Xenopus tropicalis: one gene and its partners. The protein of the gene in region 4 interacts with the protein of the main gene of each other region in a pairwise test. Links are inferred from orthologs where the notes say so. Each region holds a gene or a part of one and is shown on either strand. Other genes may lie near its edges.

Region 1 (5,791 bases), on a different chromosome or scaffold from region 4:
TTCCTTTCCCTCCTTGCTTCATACTGCTCATGTGTTTCATTCCTTCCCCCCCTCCCCTCTGCCAGATCAGCTTGTGATTGGCTGGTGGGTATGTGTAGCTCAGAACAGGAGACAGCATCAAGTTACACACATGGTCAGAGAATAGGAAGGCTGCCGCTGGCAGCCTACAGGAAGGACAGAGAGATTTCAGTGATGTCACTGTATTCTTCACACTGCTGTAGGCTGCCAGCAACATATCTCAGAGAAGCAAGCAGGGATCTGGGAATTTAGATATGCAGTAAGTACTTAATAAGAATGCCTTTAGACTTACTTTTAATTTATATTAACCTTTCATTGTCCTTTAAACAATAAGAGTAATAGGTCCTAAGCCCCAAGAATATTAAACAGTGGGTACTGGACCCAAAGACAGGTTATATACAGGGTAAAGTAGTTGGCACTGACATTACAAGTACTTAATACGGTTAAATACTGGTAACTGAAGAAAGTCAGTGGGCATCGGCACTCCAACTACAGTAAATAATGTGAAAAAATTGGATGCCCACGGCATTCCAAGAACATAATTTAAAATGGGGGAAGTGGCAACTGGCATCCCAGTTATTTAGAAAACTAACACCCCAAGGACATTATATACAGTTTAACACAGTGGGAACTGATGCCCCAATCACACTAAGTGAGTGGCAGTAGGCAGCGGCACAATGATTACCGTATATACTCGAGTTTAAGCCAATCCGAATATAAGCCGAGGTACCGAATTTTACCTAAGAAAACTGGAAAAACGTGCTGACTCGAGTATAAGCCTAGGGTGGGAAATGCAGCAGCTACTGCTAAGTTTCATCAAAATAAATACCAATAACATTACATTAAATGAGGCATCAGTGGGGTATATGTTTTTAAATATTTATTTCAAATAAAAACTGTAAACTAGCTCTGTAAGTGGAGGGTCAACAAAAACAATTGTTTTATTAACAATGATACCTTAAGAGTACTCAGCAACCAAGCTAAAACACAAAGAGTTAAAATCCTCCAAAACTATATATAGTTTATATAGAATATAAAGTGAAATGTCTAGTGCAGAATGGGACAGGTGAGGATGGTAGATGAAGATAAATTTGGGAGCGGGCCAGGGCACTGGAGGGTCTGGTTGCGGATGGCCTAATTTGCACACAAAGGTCAGAGGGTGCTAGTTTGGAGGGACCCATGGCACCCGACTCGAGTATAAGCCGAGGGTTACTTTTTGAGCAAATTTTGGGTGCTGAAAAACTAGGTTATATAAGAGAAAGGTGCAAGGCAGAGGGTACATGCATTATTTACAGTGAGGGGAGGTGAGCACATGTACCTCTAGCTAGAGAGCTGTGATAACAGCACTGCAAATTTGACATTGCCGCTGTCAAATCAAGGTAGTACAGCATGGTTCCATCAGCATACCACTTCTGCACCACTGACAAGGCTGTTGGAAGGTACAGAAATTTGCCAAAACCCACAGACTGTCAGTCTGGGCCTGGCAGGCAATCACTATTTATCAGTCTTCAGGGAATTGTTTGAGCCTTTGCGCACTTAAAAAGCCAGGGCCAATTCTGAATCCTAATCTGGACCCCTTGGAGTACCACATTAGAAGAACATAAAATAGGTAATAATAGGAAAATATTTTAAGCTTGTATCAATTTTTTATTATCAGTAACACATGCGGAAAACAACTGGGACACCAAGAGCCCATCCATCACAGCCTTACAACATTTGCTTCTTGCTGAGTATGTGCATGTTTGCTGCACTTCACCAGGGCCCTCTAGGCAACCAACCCCTGAAACTATAACTCAGACTCAGCATTAGGGTATACTTATGTACTCCTTTGTTTAATGGCAAATCAAATGAAATTGTGTGATGATAGTTGAATCAGTAATCAGAAGTTACAATTACTATCGTTTGATCACAAAAGCATACATATTTCCGACTGTCTGTGGGGCAGTGGAATTATGAAGAAACTAAAACGTATTATATTATATTGGAATTGTGTCCGAATAACTTTAATTACAGTCTTTTATACCTTTTTCTAACACCCTTCTATATCCACAAGCATCATCACCTATAGTACCAGTGTATGTTTTTAGCTTTTCATACAGTCCCTAAGCTCCACAGCCCGAGCTTTTGCGGGAGGGGGAAGGGGAAGGCGAAGGGAAAGGGAAGATCTCGGAATGAGTCAGGAAGAGGGAGGAGGAATAGATCAGAAAAAATGGCCACCGGCAGCTGCTGAAAACAGCACCAGCTACTGACTTCCCGGGATGGTCCGGCTGACCCGGCTGGTCAGCATTAATGGAAGGGGACGAAAGAAGGGAAGAACAGCACCTGGCACAGCGGTGGCACGGACGGCTGGTCATTAGGTCACAGCGGCAAAGCAGGGGCGCAAAGGCCCATCTGAGTCATCTTTCTTCATTTGGTTCCTTGTCTGAAGTGACATATTAATGAATTACTATTTATTTGGAAGCGATTGTTTGGAATAATTGAAGGCAAGCATGCCAGGCGCTGGGCCGCAGTAGGAGGAGGAAGAGGACAGGCTGTGTTTGTGTTCAATCCTGCTCTCCCTTTATTCTGCAACCCTGCACAACGGTGAGTGCTGCTGGACTCATCTTTCTATTGCGGGGCGATACATAGACAAACGCAGGCCTTTAATGTATAAATCATCTCTTGTGTTGTGATGAATATAATTTTTTTTCTTTGCTCTGAAGCATTGCTAGGCATTACATAGCAATTTTAAAGGGGGAAGTTCCTATTACTATTCCTTCCCTTGCCTCTGCTAGGATGCGGTCTAGCTGGCAGTTCTTGTACTCCGTGTATCTGCATTTATATAATGCAGCTTATTGTACTGCTTTATTGTGTAAAGCCCCCCCCCCTTTTTTTTTGTTACCCCTGTATAACAAATTCGTTTACAGTCTTATCTTTGGTTTCTGGGGTACAGGGCAGTGGCTTCTCCAAGGTCACAAGAAGCTGACCCAGGAATTGCAGTGGAGCTTTCATGAGTCAAATGAGTTTTGACCTGAAACCCGTTTTATTGTTAGAATTTTTTTTATATAGCTCTGACATATTCTGCAACACTTTACAGACATCCTTAACATATGTCTTTTCCCCAGTCAATAGAGCTTACAGTTTTAAGTCCCTTTCATTTACACACTGTGGGCAATTTTTTCAGGAGCCAATAAGCCTGACTTTTATGTCTGGGGTGTGAGAGTAAACAGAGTACCCAGAGAAAACCCAAGCAGACACACAGTAACTGTAAATTTTTCTCAAGCAATATCTCCTGCTAAACATGATAAAGTATATATATATATATATATATATGCTGTCTGCCAAAAAATAAAGGCATAACAACCTTTAAAATGACTGTAATGATATTAAAGACTGTTAACCATTTTAATTGTTAACACTCTTCTTGTTGTCTATGAATATGCTGTAGTTCGGTGATTACCAAAAATCTCCATACATTTTCAAGGGAATTCTGTTGGTTACTTCCAAGTTCAATCACCTATAGGTGTTTATAGCTAAAAGAGATGGGGATGTTCCTAAATTTCTGCAAACATTCTTGCACAACCATAGCAACTCGTGACCACTATTGTGCAAATAAATTACTTAGCCTAAGCAAGGTCTAATCAGGATGATTGTGTAGATGTATGTGCGCAGTTAATTTTTACTATACTGGGTATACCCAGTGTAGTAAAATGAACTTGTTACCCTTGCTTTATGTAACTATTTTCAAACTTTTTCTTTGCATAATTACTGGGTACCCAGCTGACATAATAAATAGTTATATTATATTCCCCTGCAGGAGTAAAAGTTATATACCATCAGTACACATTTGGCATTCTCCTAAAACATGCTGCTACCCCAAGGAGTATAGGAAGGCACATGAGCTGTTAGGTGTATCATAAAAATGGATGAAGCATTTCAGTGTTTTATTCAGTCTTCTGGTTTAGAAATTTCCCTGCACAGCATATGCAGTTCAAAGACAAAGGAGGGGTAGAATAAGTTTTTGTGGTTGTATGTTTGTTTTATATGTAATTCTAAACAGCTTTCTGGTGCTGCCTTCAGTTGCTATCACATTTTGCACATAACTTTAAAACTGCTTAAAATATAAGAATATGAATTGGCAATTTGTTTAAAATTACATTTTCTTTCTTTATGGGGTGAAGGACCCCTTTAAGGAATTGTCTCCGAAGTATGTATTGTTTGCCATGTGATGGAATTTTGACCAGTTATTATGCAATGTTTCCGAGTTACTGCAGCTGTGGTTTAGCTGGTATAGGAGTATAAGACCCAGAGGCATAAATATGATATTTGCTTAGCAGTAGCTGTAATTTGTAAGTATGAGTTCAATATGCTCTGTTTTCTGAGTTTTTGACAAAATGCTTATTCTTAGTTTCTTGCATGTGAGAATTTACCTTTTTAGAAAATAAAAGATCATTTTGAGAATTAATGCATGCATATTTTGTTATACTGCTTACACCACAGAGAGGAAAAGAAACTTAATTCGCAAGCTCAAATTCAGTGGCCACATTTACTGTGAAAAGTGGCAACATGTTTATATATTACCAATTAAAAATATTTGGACTAAGCACTTCTTAGACACTGCTTTACCTTTGCTGTCCAAACATTTCAGGATTTGTAAGTGGTCAGTATATTCTTTTTAAAGAATGTATGTTGTGTGCAACAAACTAAAGATATAGATCAGATATATCAAGGTTATTTTCGTACCAAGACTGGTATAGGTGGTTTTAGAAGTATGTTAAAAGGATGTATATAATATGCTACATACATGTACAGGTATAGGAAACTTTAAATATTTGTTTAAAACAGAGTATATGGTATCTACCATGTTGCTGTTTTGTGCTGTTCTGTGTTTCAGAGCATTCCGGATAACTAGATTCTGGATAAGGGATCCCATGCCTATACATGCCATTATGCGTGAATTCTGCCCTGTTTTTGAGGTATTCTTTTGTTAAATAGAGATAAAATAAGCAAAAAAAGACTACATTTGCCTGCCTGCAAAACAGTAAGGGAGATTTAGTTTTCTGAAGTGAAATTATTTATTAGGCATTCTGTAAATTTAAAGTGGTTATACAATAAGTAACAAAAAGTAATGTACTCTATATATAGTTTATGTATGTGAGTGTATAGATATGTCAGGATAGGTTTGTGTGTGCTGGGGTTCACTTGGAAAGGTTGAACTTTGGAGCCACTATTGTGGCTGGTTTGTGCACACACTCGTTTTCTTTAAAGACTGCAATGGCCTGTTCTTTTCTGTGCTTCTCTGCGCTGAACAAAGTTGTGCACATGTACCAAAATTGAAGAATTTATGCAAATATGTTTATCCAAGGTAAAAGCAGAATTAAAAATAACGGATAAAATGGATCCAGCCCAGGGTAATTTTTTAGTAAAATACACAGTACAAGTATAGAATCCCTTATCCAGAAACCCATTGTCCAGAAAGCTCCGAGTTACAAAAAGCCTGTCTCCCATGGACTCCATTTTAATCAAATAATTCAGAATTTAAAAACTGATTTGCTTTTTCTCTGTATTAAAATTGTACCTTGTATTTGATCCCAACTAAGATATATTAGTCCTTATTGGATGCAAAACAATCCTATTGGGTTTAAGTAATGGTTTATTGATTTTTTAGGAGACTTAAGGTATGGAGATCCAAATTATGGAAAGACCCCTTATCCGGAATACCCTTGGTCCCGAGCATTCTGGATAACGGGTCCTGTACCTGTACTGCTGTAATAGTACTGCTCATGTGTCTCCT
Region 2 (5,714 bases), on a different chromosome or scaffold from region 4:
GTTACAGTTTTGTGTTGTTGCAATGTATTTGGCTCCTGGGCAACGGAGCTTACAAATCTAAACACCATTGCAATCACTGAACATTTTTGCACAAGATTGGGAAGTATTTTCTAAACTTTTCCAAATTCCATCCTCCCCCGTGCTTATTTAGCTTTGGAGTAGGTCAAGTGGGTGCATTGCTAGAGCAATCACAGCCTAATTGCAGTCTCAACCTGAAACACTATTTTTCTCTACGTATTTTGTTTACGTTTAGAGAAGTATAATGCACTAGCACATTCAATAGCTACTCCTCGGCCTGGAGTAGCTATTGATGCAGAGGAGGGAGAGTGTTTTCAGGGATAGATTTATAAACCATTCTGAGCAATTCCATGTAGGCAATAGTTGTATCTGTATTCGCACCACTTTAATGTAGTTTGTCATCGTATAATGAAGCAAAAGATAGGGACAGCCCAGTGTTTCTAAACTTTGAGTTTCAAATAAGGCACCACTTAGGGCAAGATTCATTAAAGTAAAAATCCAAATCAAGAAATCCGATAGTTTCTGATGTTGGCAAAAGTCACAAAAAATTCCGTTCGTTTGAATATGAAGATTTCGTACTTACGATACGAAAGTTCCGAAATTTTCATATTGAAACGATTGTTTGCGAATTGTGATCCGATAGTCACGAAATTTTCGTATCCGAACAATTGTAAATGGCGGTAAAACCTGACTTTGAACCTTCTGTGCATGTTTTTGGAAGCCTCCCATAGGACTCAATGGCACTCTGCAGCTCCAACCTGGCCCAAGGAAAGTCTCCCATAGGGCTCAATGGCACTCTGCAGCTCCAACCCGGCCCAAGGAAAGTCTCCCATAGGGCTCAATGGCACTCTGCAGCTCCAACCCGGCCCAAGGAAAGTCTCCCATAGGGCTCAATGGCACTCTGCAGCTCCAACCCGGCCCAAGGAAAGTCTCCCATAGGGCTCAATGGCACTCTGCAGCCCCAACCCGGCCCAAGGAAAGTCTCCCATAGGGCTCAATGGCACTCTGCAGCTCCAACCCGGCCCAAGGAAAGTCTCCCATAGGGCTCAATGGCACTCTGCAGCTCCAACCCGGCCCAAGGAAAGTCTCCCATAGGGCTCAATGGCACTCTGCAGCTCCAACCCGGCCCAAGGAAAGTCTCCCATAGGGCTCAATGGCACTCTGCAGCCCCAACCCGGCCCAAGGAAAGTCTCCCATAGGGCTCAATGGCACTCTGCAGCTCCAACCCGGCCCAAGGAAAGTCTCCCATAGGGCTCAATGGCACTCTGCAGCTCCAACCCGGCCCAAGGAAAGTCTCCCATAGGGCTCAATGGCACTCTGCAGCTCCAACCCGGCCCAAGGAAAGTCTCCCATAGGGCTCAATGGCACTCTGCAGCTCCAACCCGGCCCAAGGAAAGTCTCCCATAGGGCTCAATGGCACTCTGCAGCTCCAACCTGGCCCAAGGAAAGTCTCCCATAGGGCTCAATGGCACTCTGCAGCTCCAACCTGGCCCAAGGAAAGTCTCCCATAGGGCTCAATGGCACTCTGCAGCTCCAACCTGACCCAAGGAAAGTCACCATACCGAAGCTTGAATGAATCCGAAACTTTTGTACTCTGCGCGACAATACCGTTTTGTCACGTAAATTTTGATGCATAGTACAAAAAAGTCTTGCAAATTAGCAAAAAAATGGTGAAAATACGTACAGTATGAAATATGATTTTTTTGTATTTGGAAGCGATCATACTTTGATAAATGGGCCCCTTAGACCAAAGGTTGGCAAACTTTTGTGGGGGATTTCTTTTTAATAAACAAAACCTGAATGCTATTTTTTAATAGTTTAAGGTCACAGCACCCCAATAGGAATTGGCCAGAATCCAAATTGACAGTATTTGCTACTCTTTAACAGGGCCACTATCACACATTGTCTTAGTTCTCTACTAGAGTCTTTTATGAAGAAAATTTGTACTGAACAATGCTAAATGCTGTATATTTGGCTATATTGTAGCTTCAGCAATAGTATTCCGTGGGTAACATCAGCCCGCCAAATCCCATCTGTGCGGAGATTGCGCGTTGCTAATAAAGTTATTGGGAAAAGAAATCCCAGCGTGCAGCGGGTTTCTCGGACACGTGATGCGGGTCAGAGTGGGCGCCAGACTGCATGCTCGTAGGACTTCCGGTTCCGTTTTGACGTCGGGTCTCCGTTAGTCCCCGGGTAGTGAAATCACAGGGAGAGAGGAGAGTGGCGGCTCTGTGGGTGAGTATGGGAAGTAGTTAGCGTGTAAGCTGTGTAACATTGCGTTTGGGCTGGTGTAGGCCTGAAAGGCCTCGGCCTGGAGTAGCTATTGATGCGGGGGAGGGAGGGTGTTGTCAGGGATAGATTTACAGATCGTACGTTCTGTGCGATTCCACGTAGGCAATCGTTGTATCTGTATTCGCGCTACGTTAGTGCAGTTTATCGTCATATAATGAAGCGCAAAATAGGGGCAGCCCAGTTTAGGGAAAGATACCAAACTTTGAGTTTCAGTTGAGGCACCACTTACACCGCAGGTTGGCAGGCCGGTTTGGGTCAGGACCTTCTGTCGGAACAAACATTAGGCTGGGGTCCACCGGAGTATCAGTCATAGTAAGTGGCCTTCCAGGAGTAAAACATTCTTCCCACATTTTCCCTATCTGCCCTTTAGTTGGGCCCCCTAAGAGCTTCAGCAACACCGCCTGGGAACCACTGACTTACACTGGTTGTATTTTGCTGTAGTTTATTGTATCTCATGGGTTTCACAAACACATGCGGATTATGTAATAAAAGGCACTAAATTTGCCCAGGTGCAATAACCCATAGCAACCAGTCAACAGGTATCATTTAATGGATACTTTTTATTGGTTGCTGTGGGTTACTGCTCCTGGGCAAATTTAGTGCCTTTTATTACATATGGGGGATCATTCCTACAGACCTCCCCCTGAGAACACGAATCGCTGAAATTTTTGCATGCCACACTGACATACCTATTCTGACCCCAGTAGGATATTTGCAAAAAAATCTGTCCCATTGAGAAACAAGAAATGTGTTGAAGCCAGGATGCTACTGAGGGTTGCTTAAAGGAAAACTATACCCCCGAACAATGTAGGTCTCTATAAAAATATATTGCACAAACAGCTCATATGTAAAACCCTGCTTCATCTAAACAAACCATTTTTATTAATATATACTTATTTAGTAGTATTTGCCATTGGGTAATCCTAAATTGAAAATTGCCATTTTAAGAATTAAGGGCCGCCCCCTGGGATCATAGGATTCACAGTGCACACAAACAAGCCAAGGCACACATACATGCTAGGCCCCATCAGCCAATGAATGGGCAGAGTTCTGCCTTTTACTCCCACACTACTTCCTGTTACAGTTAGAGCTGCATTATTTCCTGTCAACTGATCTCTGATTGAACACACAGCCCATCACTAAATGGCGGCTCAAGGGAAAAAGATGTAAAATGGCAATATTTACTGATATATATATTCCGGTTTGGTGAGATTCTTTAATAGTTCACTTAACATAATATAAACTGTTGGATAAGTATTCATTTTGTGGGTATAGATTTCCTTTAAGGTTGGTTATATTCCATAAAAAAGTAGTATGGGAATTCCTTTTGGGTTAAAAAAAAGCTTTTTGAGGTCAAGCATTTTGTCTGCTAGCCCCTAAACCTGTTATAGCTTTACAGATATAGGAAAACTATTTTTCATATTTATTTTCATAGATATTTGGGCTAGTAAGCAAGTCTTTATTCCAAATCTTGCTGTATAGGATCAATTTTTTTTTTTTAGCTCTAACTAGGGGAGCAAAGGGGCATTCCCTAAAGATCACCCCCGAATCTGTATTCTCCTTGCCCTCCACCATTATAAGAAGTGGGGAACATACTTCTATAGAGTTATTACAAGTACATAAAGTACTAGAATAGTAAATGTAACATTCACTAAAATTAGCAGGAATATACTAAAATGAAGTTAGAGAAAGATAATGAATTTTTCTCTGTGGGTACAGAGTGATACTTTGCCTCTCTGGGCAAATGCTAAATTCCTCCCACTGACACAGCATGCAGTTGAATGCAAACATTTGGTCCTCCCTGACCAAAATACATATTAAGTTAATTTTTCTAATTGAAAAGGCAGTGATCAAGCTGAAGGTTTTGGAATGGCCCTCACAATCCCCTGACTTATCTGCAAGCCTGTTGGTAGATCATAAACATTCATAGCACAGGCCACAGAATATCTCTGCAGGGATCTGCAAGGAAACGTGGGCAAAAATCCTTGAATAGAATTTTGTTCTTTTATTAGGCAAAAAACTTATTTTGGGATGACATGTCCTTTAATTACATATGCCATTTGGCAAGGGGTGCCCAAACTTTTTGAGGAAAAACATGTTTAATATGTCTGTTATCTATCTTCTTTATTAATAACATTGGCAAGTTTCCTGAATATAAGCAGATGCGTATATGTCTATACGTATATATCAGTCTGTAGTACAACTGAATCTGTTAGATTTGTCTGTTTGCAAAATGGGGTACATATAGGGCAGCATGGGGGGTTAGCTTTGCTGCTTCCAAGAGCCTTGTCTTGGATTTGATTCTGACCACATACAAAAAAACACCGTTTAGTGGAAGCTCAAGAATAACATGAGGCCTGGGTGCACGTTGCCCATACTTGCTGTTTGAGGAGACAACCCAGGATATGAGCTGGCACTTAGAGACCAACAAACAAATTATAATGTAGACTTTATTACACTAACCTGTCAGGATACAAAAAGCATTATGCCTTTCATGATAAAGTGTACAAGGCTTTTTAGAGGGGTTATGGAGTAAAAGCACTGTGTTTGCCCAGGAGCAGTAACCCATAGCATTTACTGGTCACCTGTTTGAAAGCAAACATCTTATTGGTTGCTATGAGTTACTGCACCTCGGCAAACATGGTGCCCTTTTATTACATATAGGCGTTTCTGTCCTGATATGTTCTTGTAATTAAGTTTTCATTTTATTTACAATTCCTATTTGTGGGTATCCTTAAGTGTCTGATCATGTCTTGGGTTTGATTTTGACCAGGGCCTGATCCAAATGGCTTTGTATGTTCTGCCCATGTTTGTGTGGGGATTCTGCCATTGCTCCTTTTTCAGTACAAATAGATGCAGGTAGGCTAACAGGCTTCTGATGAAAGTGACCCTACTGTATTTGTATAAATGTGGGAAATTAAGGTGCAAGCTTTACCAGGCAGTGGCTGTTATGTGGTTCAGTATTCTCTGTACTACCGTAATACAACCTGTTGAATATTTACTGTAGTATCATGAGTTAAAAAAAAAAAAAAAAGTGCTGTTCACCGAGGGAGACAGAAGTGGGAGTGCTAAATGTCAATTGTTGAAATAACAGACTTATTTCAATTTTTTTGTGCAGTTTATACAAAGGCAGCACTCTTACTCTTTCCAGTAAACATGGCTCTTTCTAAGAGAGAACTGGATGATTTGAAGCCATGGGTGGAGAAAACTGTGAAAGGAGTCTTGGGCTTCTCTGAGCCTACAGTAGTCACTGCAGCTCTAAACTGTGTGGGGAAGGGAATGGACAAGAAGAAGACTGTTGGTAAGTCGGTGGAAATAATATATCATTTGTTATGTAGCAAAGAAAAATCTAGGACATTTACATTTGTTTTATGTGCAAGGCTTGCTTGGGGCCTGTGCACCTA
Region 3 (5,850 bases), on a different chromosome or scaffold from region 4:
ATACAGCCCTGTTAATTACATTACCTTGTCTTAAATCCCTAACCCTGGCTAGGATCCACTCTAAAGCTGACCATACACGTGGCGATCTGACGATGTTTCGTGCGACCAACGGTTGCACGAAACATCGTCAGATGTGCCACACACCATTCAGGGCTGAATCGGCAGGTAAGGAGGTAGAAACAATAGGATTTCTACCTCCTTCTGCCGATTCAGCTCTGAAGGGAGATTTTGATCAGGCGCCTTCTATCGGTCGACTCGCCGACATACCATACACGCACCGAATATCGTACGAAACGAGGTTTCGTACGATATTATCGGTGCGTGTATGGCCACCTTTACTATGGGCCAAAGGCAATCAACCCAATCAAAGACAAACAAATAGCACAAAGGCCCACCATTAGGGCAGCCAACAATTTTATTTTATTATGAACTTCACAAACCGCTCAGAAAACACAGGCCAACAATCAACCGGGTGCATTTACATGGGGTGAATTTCTGCACCAAATGCATACTTGCATATTTTTGCTCTGAAATCTCATCCATGTGTTTGCACTTGGGCTGATCTAAATGCTAAAGGTGCAGGGAAAGGCTGATGCCAGCGTAGAGGCTGATTCCTGGTCTGCATTTGACTGCATTTATCCACAGGCCAAGAATTAGCCCTGTGTGGCATTAGCCTTACACATCTACAGCTTTAACACACCTTAGAAATAAAGCAAAAGGTTGGAATAACAAAGCTGTATAAGCAAAGCAAAGAAAACCATCGAACTTAAAATAACAGAGCATTGTGCAATCTGCATATACATATGTTTTCTATCAGTTTCACAAGACTTTTGTATACTGCAAGCAATATAATATCCCTATGAGACTAGTAACCACCCCCTAAAATATATTGACACCCCCTTCCCTCTCTGCTTTCCACAAAAATTTGGGGGGCTGCCCCCATACTTGCACCACTACTTCTAGTTGTCTCAGATGCTTATTATTGAATTGTGAATTGGGGGCAAGTTTTGAATGAATAAAAACCAAGTGTACTGCCAAACAGAGTCTCCTGTAGGCAGTCAGTCCAACATAGGGGCAAACACTCCCAAGGTTGGGGGCCCCTGCTCTAGCACATAGGCAGTGCAGCCTTCAGGTTTTTGTCATGTTTTACTCTAAGCAGAATCTCCTACAGGCTAACAGTCCACATGGGGATACCAAATAGCCAATCACAGTCCTTACATGGCATCGCCAAATAACTTTTTGTGTGGCTTACCAACACTTTTTACATCTGAGTGTGGCTCACGACAAAAGGCTGGGGATACGTTTTAAAAGTCAGTTTAAAAAATGTGATAAAAACATGGGATGACCTTGGGAATAAAAGATGGTTAGTAATTATAGGTTATTGTACATTTGATCATGTACAGCAGCTCATACACTTAGGGCTCTGGCACACGGGGAGATTAGTCGCCCGCGGCAAAACTCCCTGTTCGCGGGCGACTAATCTCCCCGAGTTGCCTTCCCCCTGCCATCCCATCGGCGAACATGTAAGTCGCTGGCGGGATGGCAGACGCGGTGGCGCGATTTTGCGCAAATTGCCGAAAAAGCCTCGCGAGTCTTTTTCGGCGATTTCCCGAAATCGCCCCGTGTGCCAGAGCCCTTAGGGGCAGATTTACTAAAACTTTCTCATTTTTTTCATGTGTGAAAATATGTGCGGATAAAAGTCACAAAACTTCAATGTTGTCAAATTGTCCCACCAATGCCTCTTATTTTTGAATTGTAATACAAAAAAACAGCATCGAAAATCCAAAAACCTTAAAAGTTTCAAAGCAAAGAAGGATCATCCAGGGAAGGGAAGAGACACCTGCTATTGACTCCTACACAATCTCGACAAGTTTTAGCTGGCAAATTGTCAGATTCAGATTTTAAGCCATTTTGTGACTTTTTTTAATGCGACTTTTAGCGCTAAAAAAATCTGAATTGGAAAAAAAATCCAAGCATTATTAAATGGCCCTCATAAAGCGCTTAACTATGCTGAGTGGGGGAAAAATATTTTAATTTGTTTACTTATTTGTGTAATTAGAATCAGATTCTAAAGAAGAGAAGGTTATAACCCTAGTAACAACCAAAACAGAGCTGACAAGGTGGCAGTGACTGCCTGGGAGCGGATCACATACAGGTAGAGTCAGTGTGATGCAGCCTGTAGGTGTGAGCTGGGCTTGCTGGGTGGGTGTGGCTTGTGATGTCACTAAATGCTTTGTGTTGAACAATCAAGTAACTCAATTACAGGAAGGGTTGTGTTGTCTTCTACCTTGTTACTGGAATAAACACCCGCTGCTCTTTCTACCTCTGCAGGCAAAAATGGCCATAATAGTATCAGGACCCTGTCCCCCCTCCTGCCCATGGAGCTAAGGTGAGTGTTTGATTTGTTCTTCCCTGTCCTGTATGACTTTATTAGGTGGAGCTGACTGAGCAGGACACAATGACACACTGCCTGTTCATACCGGTCTGCAGCTCACTTTCCTATTGAGCTACAATACAAGGACTGGCGTATAAGATTTAACATTCTGGTCACTTCTCCCCAGGTACCTGGTGTCAGGAAAGTAATATAAATATACAGGATTTGAAGTTTTCCTTTTAACCACTTGTGGAATTCTTCAACACACAGGGGACACAGCGAGACAACTAAATGCCATGGCAAATCAAGTCCCAAGCTGTAATGTCACTCTTACATTGTTGTTATTTTAATGTAAAGCACAAACTTAATCTAAAGTGTTGTACATAAAAGTGCCTTTTAGTAAAATCATATATAACAGGAGAGGTACTAGGTATATTACAGTCTACAAGTTACTTAAGCATGAAAGGTTTCTGTCTAAATGGTTAAACCTCTAATGGGGTGCTATAATAAAAAGTACATCTGTGTTGGGCCTGCTAGCCCATAGCAACCAACCAGTCGATTGCTTTCAGATGGGTTACCAGCACGTGCTTCTCAATGATTGGTTTGAATGGGTTAGTATACCTGGGACCTGGGACCTTGCAACTTTTATTGCATTACCCCTTTAATGTGAAAACAAAACATTATCTTTCTTGGTGTTGCCAAACTGCAACTCACAAGGTACTTCATAGGATAAGCATTTCTGCTGTAATATGAGTCTGGCATAAAGTAAGTGACGTAGCATTTGCAAGCCTTTTGTTAGCCCAAGGGTTTGCCCCCAAGTACTAAATCTATATCTTGCATGGTTAGTAACTAAATCATTCATATGCATTACATGGCAGTCAGTGCAGACTGCAACATACAATTAATTGCTAAATAACTATTTAGTGGGGGGGTTCTGTATAATCCTAGATAAAACTGCATGGTTGTTGTATGTACTCCTCTTCTTCAATATATTTTATAGGTGCACCTTTTTAACAGTGATTTCTAATGCTATTTACATTAACAATTCCCATGTGTATGTATCCAAATTTTGACTTATTCTGGTCATATAAAGACATTCAAAAATTCTCTATTAAATAGGTAAAATGCATATGATGCCAGTTGAAAAATGGGCATAAATGCTGGTCCATGTAACCAGAAATGTATTGATTTGGAGAGACGTTAATTGTTGTTCCAGTAAGGAACAACCCCCTTATTTTATGTGCAGTATTAGTGGTTCTGCCATTTTGCATATAAAACTTGATATGAGTGCTCACAGTGGCCCACAGCATTCACATCCAAGGAGTTTTCTTGCTCCGGCACGCACAGCAACTCACACCAACCAAAAGCTGCTGTCCACTTACAGATGAGGAATAACATATAGGTCATTACTTCCCCAGTGACATATATTAAAGGCATCACTGCCAGTGCATCCCTGGAACTTTGCGTACTGTACTTTCAGTTGTCTTTTGTTTATTCCATATATCTCCAACTTGCAGCCCTCCAGATGTTGTTAAAGTACATCTTCCAGCATCCCACCGACAGCCAAGGAGTGTCATGGGGCAGTGGGAGATGAACTTCAACAACATCTGGAGGGTTTTTCTGTTTCCCATTTGCGAGTTTGTTCAGTAAGCACTAAATGTGAGTATGGACAGGTCCAGCAAAGCCAGGGGAGCCCCTCACCCCTTATCACTGAGTTCCAAGTTGCTGATATAATAAATACTTATATTATTGGTGGTGAGCCCAGTACAGGAAGGAAAGCATTTGTGGAAAGCTTAATGAGCTGTCGCACTGCTGCTAAAGGCCAACCGGTTTTGCTCACGTTTATCTGAGGGAAACTCACATGCAGTTCTCATGGAACAAAAACTCTCCTAGCTTGCTATGTAAATAGACTGTGTTTACTTTTTAAAAAATGAAGAAAAAATGCCTGATGAGGTTCTAATGCAGAGAAAATATTTCAGGGAAAACTTATTGGCCTTGCTTAGAATGGAAACAATATATTTCACTATTGGCCCAACAACTTGCCTATTGTTAAACATTCCTATTCTATGTTTCTGCACTTCTATCTAGCTTGCCAACTTTCTTTTTCTAGTTATATCTAGGTTTTCGTAAAGTGATATGTTTTAAAAATACAGCAGATTCATCCCCCTTAGCCTTGGAAAACTTGGCTTGGCTCTGCTAAATAACCTTGTAAAGGCTCATGGGACGCACTAGAGCTGTACTGGCCCCACTAGAGCTGTGTTGGCCCCACTAGAGCTGTGTTGGCCCCACTAGAGCTGTACTGGCCCCACTAGCGCTGTGTTGGCCCCACTAGAGCTGTACTGGCCCCACTAGAGCTGTACTGGCCCCACTAGAGCTGTACTGGCCCCACTAGAGCTGTGTTGGCCCCACTAGAGCTGTACCGGCCCCACTAGAGCTGCACTGCCCCCCTCCTAGAGCTCTACTGTTCCCCCCCCCCCATCTAGAGCTGTATTGCCCCCCTTCCCCCTCCTAGAGCTGTACTGGCCCCACTAGAGCTGTATTAGTACTTTCAAGATTTCTAATGCAAGGAAAAAGGACCATTAGCTGTAAAGCTCCAAAGTCTGGCACTTGTCCGCTAGTATAATAATGCCATGTGTGCTATAGACCTAAGTGCATTGAATAGCTGATTTGTGAAACTTTTGTTCTCCCCCCACGTAACCTTGCAGGGTTTACTGGTGTGAAGGTGCCAGAAATGTACATTTGCTTCTATTACAGTTACTTGTGACTCCCCTAGGAACCTAGGCACGGAGTAAGTATTACTGAGGGTATTCAGTTCACAGTTTTGCACCAGTGCAGTAACCCATAGCAAATTAGTTCTGATCAATAGTTAAATGTAGTCATAACAAAGGTCTGGTTGCCACAGGTTGCTGCGCTGGTATAAAGTTCCACATACAATATCTTGAATCCTCCCTATCCAGCCTCAATGACCATTTTATTATAGACTTTCTGCCCTCCAGCTGCAGTTACAATACAACTTCCATCATCCCCTACTATCAGAGGTGGGGTCTGTTGACGTATAACAACTGATGGAGGACAGATGTTTGGAATTCCCTTTGCTTTGCTTTTTACAATCACAAAGATGCTCCTAATGACAAGTGAAACTGTACTGAATGCAGGAATGCAAGTTTGGGCAATTTCCAGCTAATACCATTATAACCTAACAGAAACCTGCATGTTAAGGCAAGTCTAAAACTTCTGCCAAAACATCTATAGATCAGAAACTTGGCTTTAAGGGAACGGTATCTTCCCCCGAGGGGTCGGTGGCATGTTAATTAGACTTAATTATTCCATGAACTTAATTCTTTTTTCACGTTGCTAACTATAGAATTAAACCATAGAATGTGCCTGTGCAATATCATTGCCCATGCTCTGTTACATGTATGACCCACAAGAGCAGTTGTGGTTGTGCTGTTGTTGCATGAATATACAACATTCCA
Region 4 (5,757 bases):
CACAGGCACAAATTGGAAGGTAAGAGTGCATGAGGTATGGGCATTTGTTCATCTATTATCCTTGGTCCCCACAGCCACAGTGCCATATTTGGGAGATCTTTTATTCAACATTTAAAAGAGAAGAAAAAGTAGAGTCACTGGGGGTGATGTCTTGTTGCCAACCACCTACCCCGAGCTGGCAACCCTTTTCTTTAAAAAAATGCACCAGCCCAACATTCTCCAATTGCAAGCGCTATTTTGCCAGGCTAGAATCAATGGGGGTGGACAACAACTCAGTGATTCTACCTTTCCTTCTCTTTAAGGACTGGTCATGGGCCCTTTGACTTATTATAAAGCAGTCATGCCTCTGGTAGAGGAAACAGAACCTTTTATTTCCCATGTTTAGTGCCCAGGCTAGTTTATGACCAGCTGGGTGCCTACCCTACTGTGTTTCCTGAAACTTGCAATGGCTATTCCACTGAATATAGTGATCATATTAAGCAAATACTACCAATAAATGTAGGGTTCAATGATTCACCTTTTTGATCCAAACTATTTACTTAATACTTTAATTACAGCTAAAAAGGCACTTTTAACTTCCTGGTGGATGACAAAAACCATTATATTTTTGGCGAAAATACACTCGGAGCGTTCGAATGAATGCTCCGGGCGTTTGTGTCTTAATAAATCTCCCCCTATATCATGCAAATCTTATAATAGCACAAAATGCATCTACAGGCATTTATCTGTGATTATGTGATTTGAATAAAATGCCTGTTGCAATTTACATTAAACCCATAGTGGAATATTTTTGTTGTCATGTTTTTGCCCGCTGGAAGTGATATCCCCTTAGAAACAAAATGCTTTGTGTGGCATTGCGCAAGAGGTATGTATGTATGTATAACTTTATTTATAAAGCGCCACAAGGGTACGCAGCGATGTACAATCTTACAAAATTACACACAGGGAGGACAAGTGTTATAATAAATACAATAAATAAGTACAAAATACACAAGGAATAAGTGCCATGTGGTATGAGACACAGTAGGAAGGCAGTCCCTGCCCCATAGAGCTTACAATCTAAGTAGGTGAGTTTGTTATATACAACACGCCAGTACAGATAACAATATTGTGCATCTTGCGGTTCCTAAACATAACTACCCCCAGCCAGGGCTAAGGGCTCTGGCACACGGGGAGATTAGTCGCCCGCAACAAATCTCCCTTGTCACGGGTGACTAATCTCCCCAAGTTGCCATGACCTGCCTCACGAGTCTTTTTTGGCGATATCGGGAAATCGTGCCGCCGCGTGTGCCATCCCGCCGGCGACTTACATGTTCGCCGGTGGGATGGCAGGTCATGGCAACTCGGGGAGATTAGTCGCCCGTGACAAGGGAGATTAGTCGCCCGCAGCAAAACTCCCTGTTCGCGGGCGACTAATCTCCCCGAGTTGCCTACCCCTGCCATCCCACCGGCGAACATGTAAGTCGCCGGCGGGATGGCAGACACGGCGGCGCGATTTCGCGCAAATTTCGTCGCGATTTCGCGACTTACATGTTCGCCGGTGGGATGGCAGGTCATGGCAACTCGGGGAGATTAGTCGCCCGCGAACAGGGAGTTTTGCCGCGGGCGACTAATCTCCCCGTGTGCCAGAGCCCTAAGGGCTCTGGCACACGGGGGAGATTAGTCGCCCGCGATAAAACTCCCTGCTCGCGGGCGACTAATCTCCCCGAGTTGCCTACCCCTGCTGGCGGGATGGCAGACGCGGCGGGGCAATTTCAGGGAATCGCCGAAAAAGACTCGCGATTTGCGCGAAATCGCGCCGCCGCGTCTGCCATCCCGCCGGCGACTTACATGTTCGCCGGTGGGATGGCAGGGGTAGGCAACTCGGGGAGATTAGTCGCCCGCGAACAGGGAGTTTTATCGCGGGCGACTAATCTCCCCCGTGTGCCAGAGCCCTAAAGAAGCACTTCTTTTATCACAAGTAGGATAAAGATAACATAACGTGTCCCAGTTTGTGCAGAGAAACAGGAGGAGGAGCTTGGGCAGGTCTCCTTGTCACTCACAGTTATGACACCTTCCTGCGGGAGAGTGAGAGGACACGCCCAGCCGTCAGTACAGCCTACACACGGGTCTCCCTTCAGCTCTGATAAACAGGCTTTGGAGCCCATATACCGGACACCGCTAAAGCGGCAGTGAGGACAGCCTGCATTTATATTCCAGTATGAAACCTTTAACCTGCTCTAAAGCCCTGACAACCTGCTAGCAAATTCAGCAACCCAATTCTAAACGTAGATTTATATTACTAATCATCCCCCCCCCCCTCTCTCTACGTCCAAGTGGTATGTGCTGACTTCTAGTTTCCTGCGAGCCGAGCGAGTCGGTGCGGTGCAGGTAAGCGCGCAGGGTTGTGTACCATGGCGCATTCACATTCATTGTTTCCGTGCTGCTCTCAGTCTCCTTTATGTGAGGCAGCCCCCAGCACCACATGTGGCTAGAGCAGTGCCAGCTTCCTGAATTAAAGATGGATTCCGAGCCCACAACTGCATTTTTGTCGAGTTTAACAGGAGGAATGCAAGGTATGCACCATGGAGGAAGGTGCCTGCTATTTGCAGCATGGTGACAGGGGTGTGCTGTATAGGCAAATGCAGGCTGGCTGAGCCTAGGGGCAATGGCACACAGGGGGTTTGTTGTCTCTGGGAAAGAAAATCCCAGTTCCCCTTAGGCCAAACATGGCAGCACATTGGAATCACCACATGTTTGTCAGCTAATTCAGCAATCACACAAACTGCTGCTTTCTGTATATTCACATGATAACCTCATTCAACTGAGCTGCACACAGCAACACAAAGCCCCACGGCCCCATTGCCATAATCATGACATCATGCTTTCTCTTTACTAAATGCCTTGTATGTGTTGTATGTGGCCTTCAATAAAACAATATGAGCGAACTGTTGATATCAGAACATTTGTATTCTGGTTTATTTTCAACTTTTAAACACGTTTTAGTAGGTTTTAAGCATAGTCTTCTGAATTAAAGGAACAGTAACACCAAAACATTAAAGAGTTTTAAAGTAAATGAAATATAATGCACTGTTGCCCTGCACTGGTAAAAGTTGTGTGTTTGCTACAGTAACACTACTATAATTTATATAATAAGCTGCTGTGTAGCCATGGGGGCAGCCATTCAAGCTGGAAAAAAGGAGAAAAGGCACAGGTTACATAGCAGATAACGGATAAGCTCTGTAGAATACAATCGTGTTTTATCTGTTATCTACTAAGTGCCTGTGCCTTTTCTCCTTTGAATGACTGCCCCCATGGCTACACAGCTGCATTCTTTATATAAACCATAGTAGTGTTTCTGAGGCAAAACACCAGTTGTACCAGTGCAGGGCAGCAGTACATTATATTGGAATTTCTTTCATACACTTGAATTTTTTTGGTGTTACTGTTCCTTTAAGAAAGAATCCCTGGAAAGCTTGGTCCCAAGAATTCTCCCAAGTTCTTCCAAACGCTTTTTACGGTTTAAACAGTTCACCAAATAGGAAAATTTTTCATTGCTTTATATATATATATATATATGTGTATTCTCTGCCCTGGTAACTCTGCCTTGTGAATCACTGTAACACAAGCAGCAGACTGACAGACCTGACTTGCTGGAGGAGATTGACCTTTGAAACATTGTTTAAAAAGTAACAACCAGGAGTTAACTAAATGCTGCTTTCAATAGCAGTTACATTCACAAATAACTTTTGAAGCACTAACATTTTTGTTTATAAATTCATATTAGAAAGTTGCTTAGAACTATGTTTTCTTTTATTAGGCAAAATATATTTTTTGGGTTGACATGCTCTTTAAGGGTGAGAGCACACAGGACATATGGTCCGCTTCTCTCGGCCTGCATTTGGTAGGCAGGTTTTGATAAGCAGATCTGATTTATACGCTTCTGTGTGTAGTTGCACTGATAGTGATAGCATAGGCCTGATTGCTGCTAGACAGAGCAGTGATTGGTCAGAAAAACACGACAGCAGGCATTTTCAGGCCAGTCTCTGCGCCGTGTAGCTGCATTAAGGCCGATGCTGTGTCTGTCAGTGCAGCTACTCACAGAAGTGTTTAGAGCAGATCTGCTTCTCTCTGCCTGGCCCAATGCAGGCAGAAAGAAGCAGACTATACATGCTTTAAGAGGGGCCTAAATGAGTTCTTGAACAATCAGAATATCCAAGGCTATTGTGATACTAATATCTACAGTTAGTACTAGTGGTTGTATTTATAGTTTATGTATGTGAGTGTATAGATTGGTAGGTGTGGGTAAGGTGTGCTGGGTTTACTTGGATGGGTTGAACTTGATGGACACTGGTCTTTTTTTAACCCTATGTAACTATGTGTGCCCTCTCCCTAATATTCAAGTCTCAAGTGCTACAGTCTGGTATCTCAGTAATCCAGGTTACTCTGAACTGTTATAGTTTGCTACATGAATTGATAGATTTCTCAGCAGAACATGTGAAACATTAGTAACTACTGTATTAATTCTAGCAGCTGCCTTTAATAAAATGTAGGCCCTGGACATATAGAGCATTTCTTCTGCTTCTCTCAGGTGAGAGAAGCAGATCTATTCCCTTACGCAGCTCTGTTTACCTACACTAAAAGTACAACTTTTGCTTGAGTGCAGGTACATGGAGCGGAGTGGAGACTGGACCGAAAATGCCTGCTTTTGCCGCTTTTGTTGCCAGCAGAGGGGCCGATTCTCTGCCTGTGTTTTTCCACAGGCCGAAAATCAGTTTTGTGTGGCATCAGCAATAAGCTGGCCATATGTGCACTGATAAAATCGTACGAAACGCAGTTTCATAAATATTTCGGACCTTGTGTGGGATCCGAATTATCATCCCGATAATTTGTGTACCATGGCAATCCCAGGTTAGAAAATTTTGCTCGGAAAATTATAAAATCTGTGCATGTATTTATTACCTGACGATATCCTTGGGGGACCTGCAATGCATTTCCAGTAAGTCACTTTTGTACGATTGGTGTCTGCCAACTATTTCATGTTCAGAACATCCTCCGATTTGTTATTTTTAGGGCTTTATCCTACAATTTCGCCTGCCCTAAACATTAATATTAGAAAAACACTCAAATATTGAAAAAAGAAAAGTAGAAAGCAAATGAAAAAAAAAAACATTTATGGTGTACAGGAAAAGACATTTTGTGTTTACAATTGTAGCAGTATATTCTTTCATTAGGTAAAAGCTTAAAGGAAAACTATACCCCAGAATGAATACATAACCAATGACCTATTAAAGAATCTTACCAAACTGGAATATATATATCAGTAAATATTGCCCTTTTACATCCCTTCCCTTGAGCCGCCATTTAGTGATGGGCTCTGTGCCTAGCATGTACTGTATGTGTGCTATGGCTTGTTTGTGTGCACTGCAGGCGGCCCTTAATTTTTAAGGCAATTTTAATGCCAATTTTTTATTTAGGATTACCCGATAGCACATACTACAATCCATTTCATTTCAAGCAACTTTCCAATATATATTTAATTACAAGTTCCAGTGCTTTATTACATGTGCATGTAAATTTCTGTTCTTTGTACAAGTCCCATTGACTTCTATAGAAACTGGCAAGCTTTTAAATGGTGAATTTGTACATTCAAGTTTTTGGGTTTTTAAATAGCAGACATTCCTGAAACAGAATTCCAATGTAAGTTTTTTTTTTAGTGCAAAAAAAACTTGAATCGCGAGAAAAATCAAACTCACACTTTAATAAATCTCCCCCTTA

Evidence for each region. The genes of interacting proteins can lie anywhere in the genome.
Region 1: the proteins of E3 ubiquitin-protein ligase TRIM39 (region 4) and wdfy3 interact in binary tests that used the Homo sapiens proteins (3 or more experiments, as listed by UniProt). The two-hybrid records come from large-scale screens. The link is inferred for Xenopus tropicalis from reciprocal best matches to the Homo sapiens genes TRIM39 and WDFY3.
Region 2: the proteins of E3 ubiquitin-protein ligase TRIM39 (region 4) and prpf3 interact in binary tests that used the Homo sapiens proteins (3 or more experiments, as listed by UniProt). The two-hybrid records come from large-scale screens. The link is inferred for Xenopus tropicalis from reciprocal best matches to the Homo sapiens genes TRIM39 and PRPF3.
Region 3: the proteins of E3 ubiquitin-protein ligase TRIM39 (region 4) and lnx1 interact in binary tests that used the Homo sapiens proteins (3 or more experiments, as listed by UniProt). The two-hybrid records come from large-scale screens. The link is inferred for Xenopus tropicalis from reciprocal best matches to the Homo sapiens genes TRIM39 and LNX1.

The regions. Positions count from the first base shown.
Region 1 is NC_030677.2:86,540,919-86,546,709, reverse strand, and holds the start of wdfy3 (WD repeat and FYVE domain-containing protein 3), read left to right. Parts: upstream 1-2,170; 5' UTR 2,171-2,601; intron 2,602-5,791. UniProt on the Homo sapiens protein: Required for selective macroautophagy (aggrephagy). Acts as an adapter protein by linking specific proteins destined for degradation to the core autophagic machinery members, such as the ATG5-ATG12-ATG16L E3-like ligase, SQSTM1 and LC3.
Region 2 is NC_030684.2:127,697,749-127,703,462, reverse strand, and holds the start of prpf3 (U4/U6 small nuclear ribonucleoprotein Prp3), read left to right. Parts: upstream 1-2,093; 5' UTR 2,094-2,253; intron 2,254-5,428; 5' UTR 5,429-5,466; coding exon 5,467-5,611; intron 5,612-5,714. UniProt on the Homo sapiens protein: Plays a role in pre-mRNA splicing as component of the U4/U6-U5 tri-snRNP complex that is involved in spliceosome assembly, and as component of the precatalytic spliceosome (spliceosome B complex).
Region 3 is NC_030677.2:39,807,216-39,813,065, reverse strand, and holds the start of lnx1 (E3 ubiquitin-protein ligase LNX), read left to right. Parts: upstream 1-2,229; 5' UTR 2,230-2,389; intron 2,390-5,850.
Region 4 is NC_030678.2:143,270,644-143,276,400, forward strand, and holds the start of E3 ubiquitin-protein ligase TRIM39, read left to right. Parts: upstream 1-2,376; 5' UTR 2,377-2,464; coding exon 2,465-2,555; intron 2,556-5,757.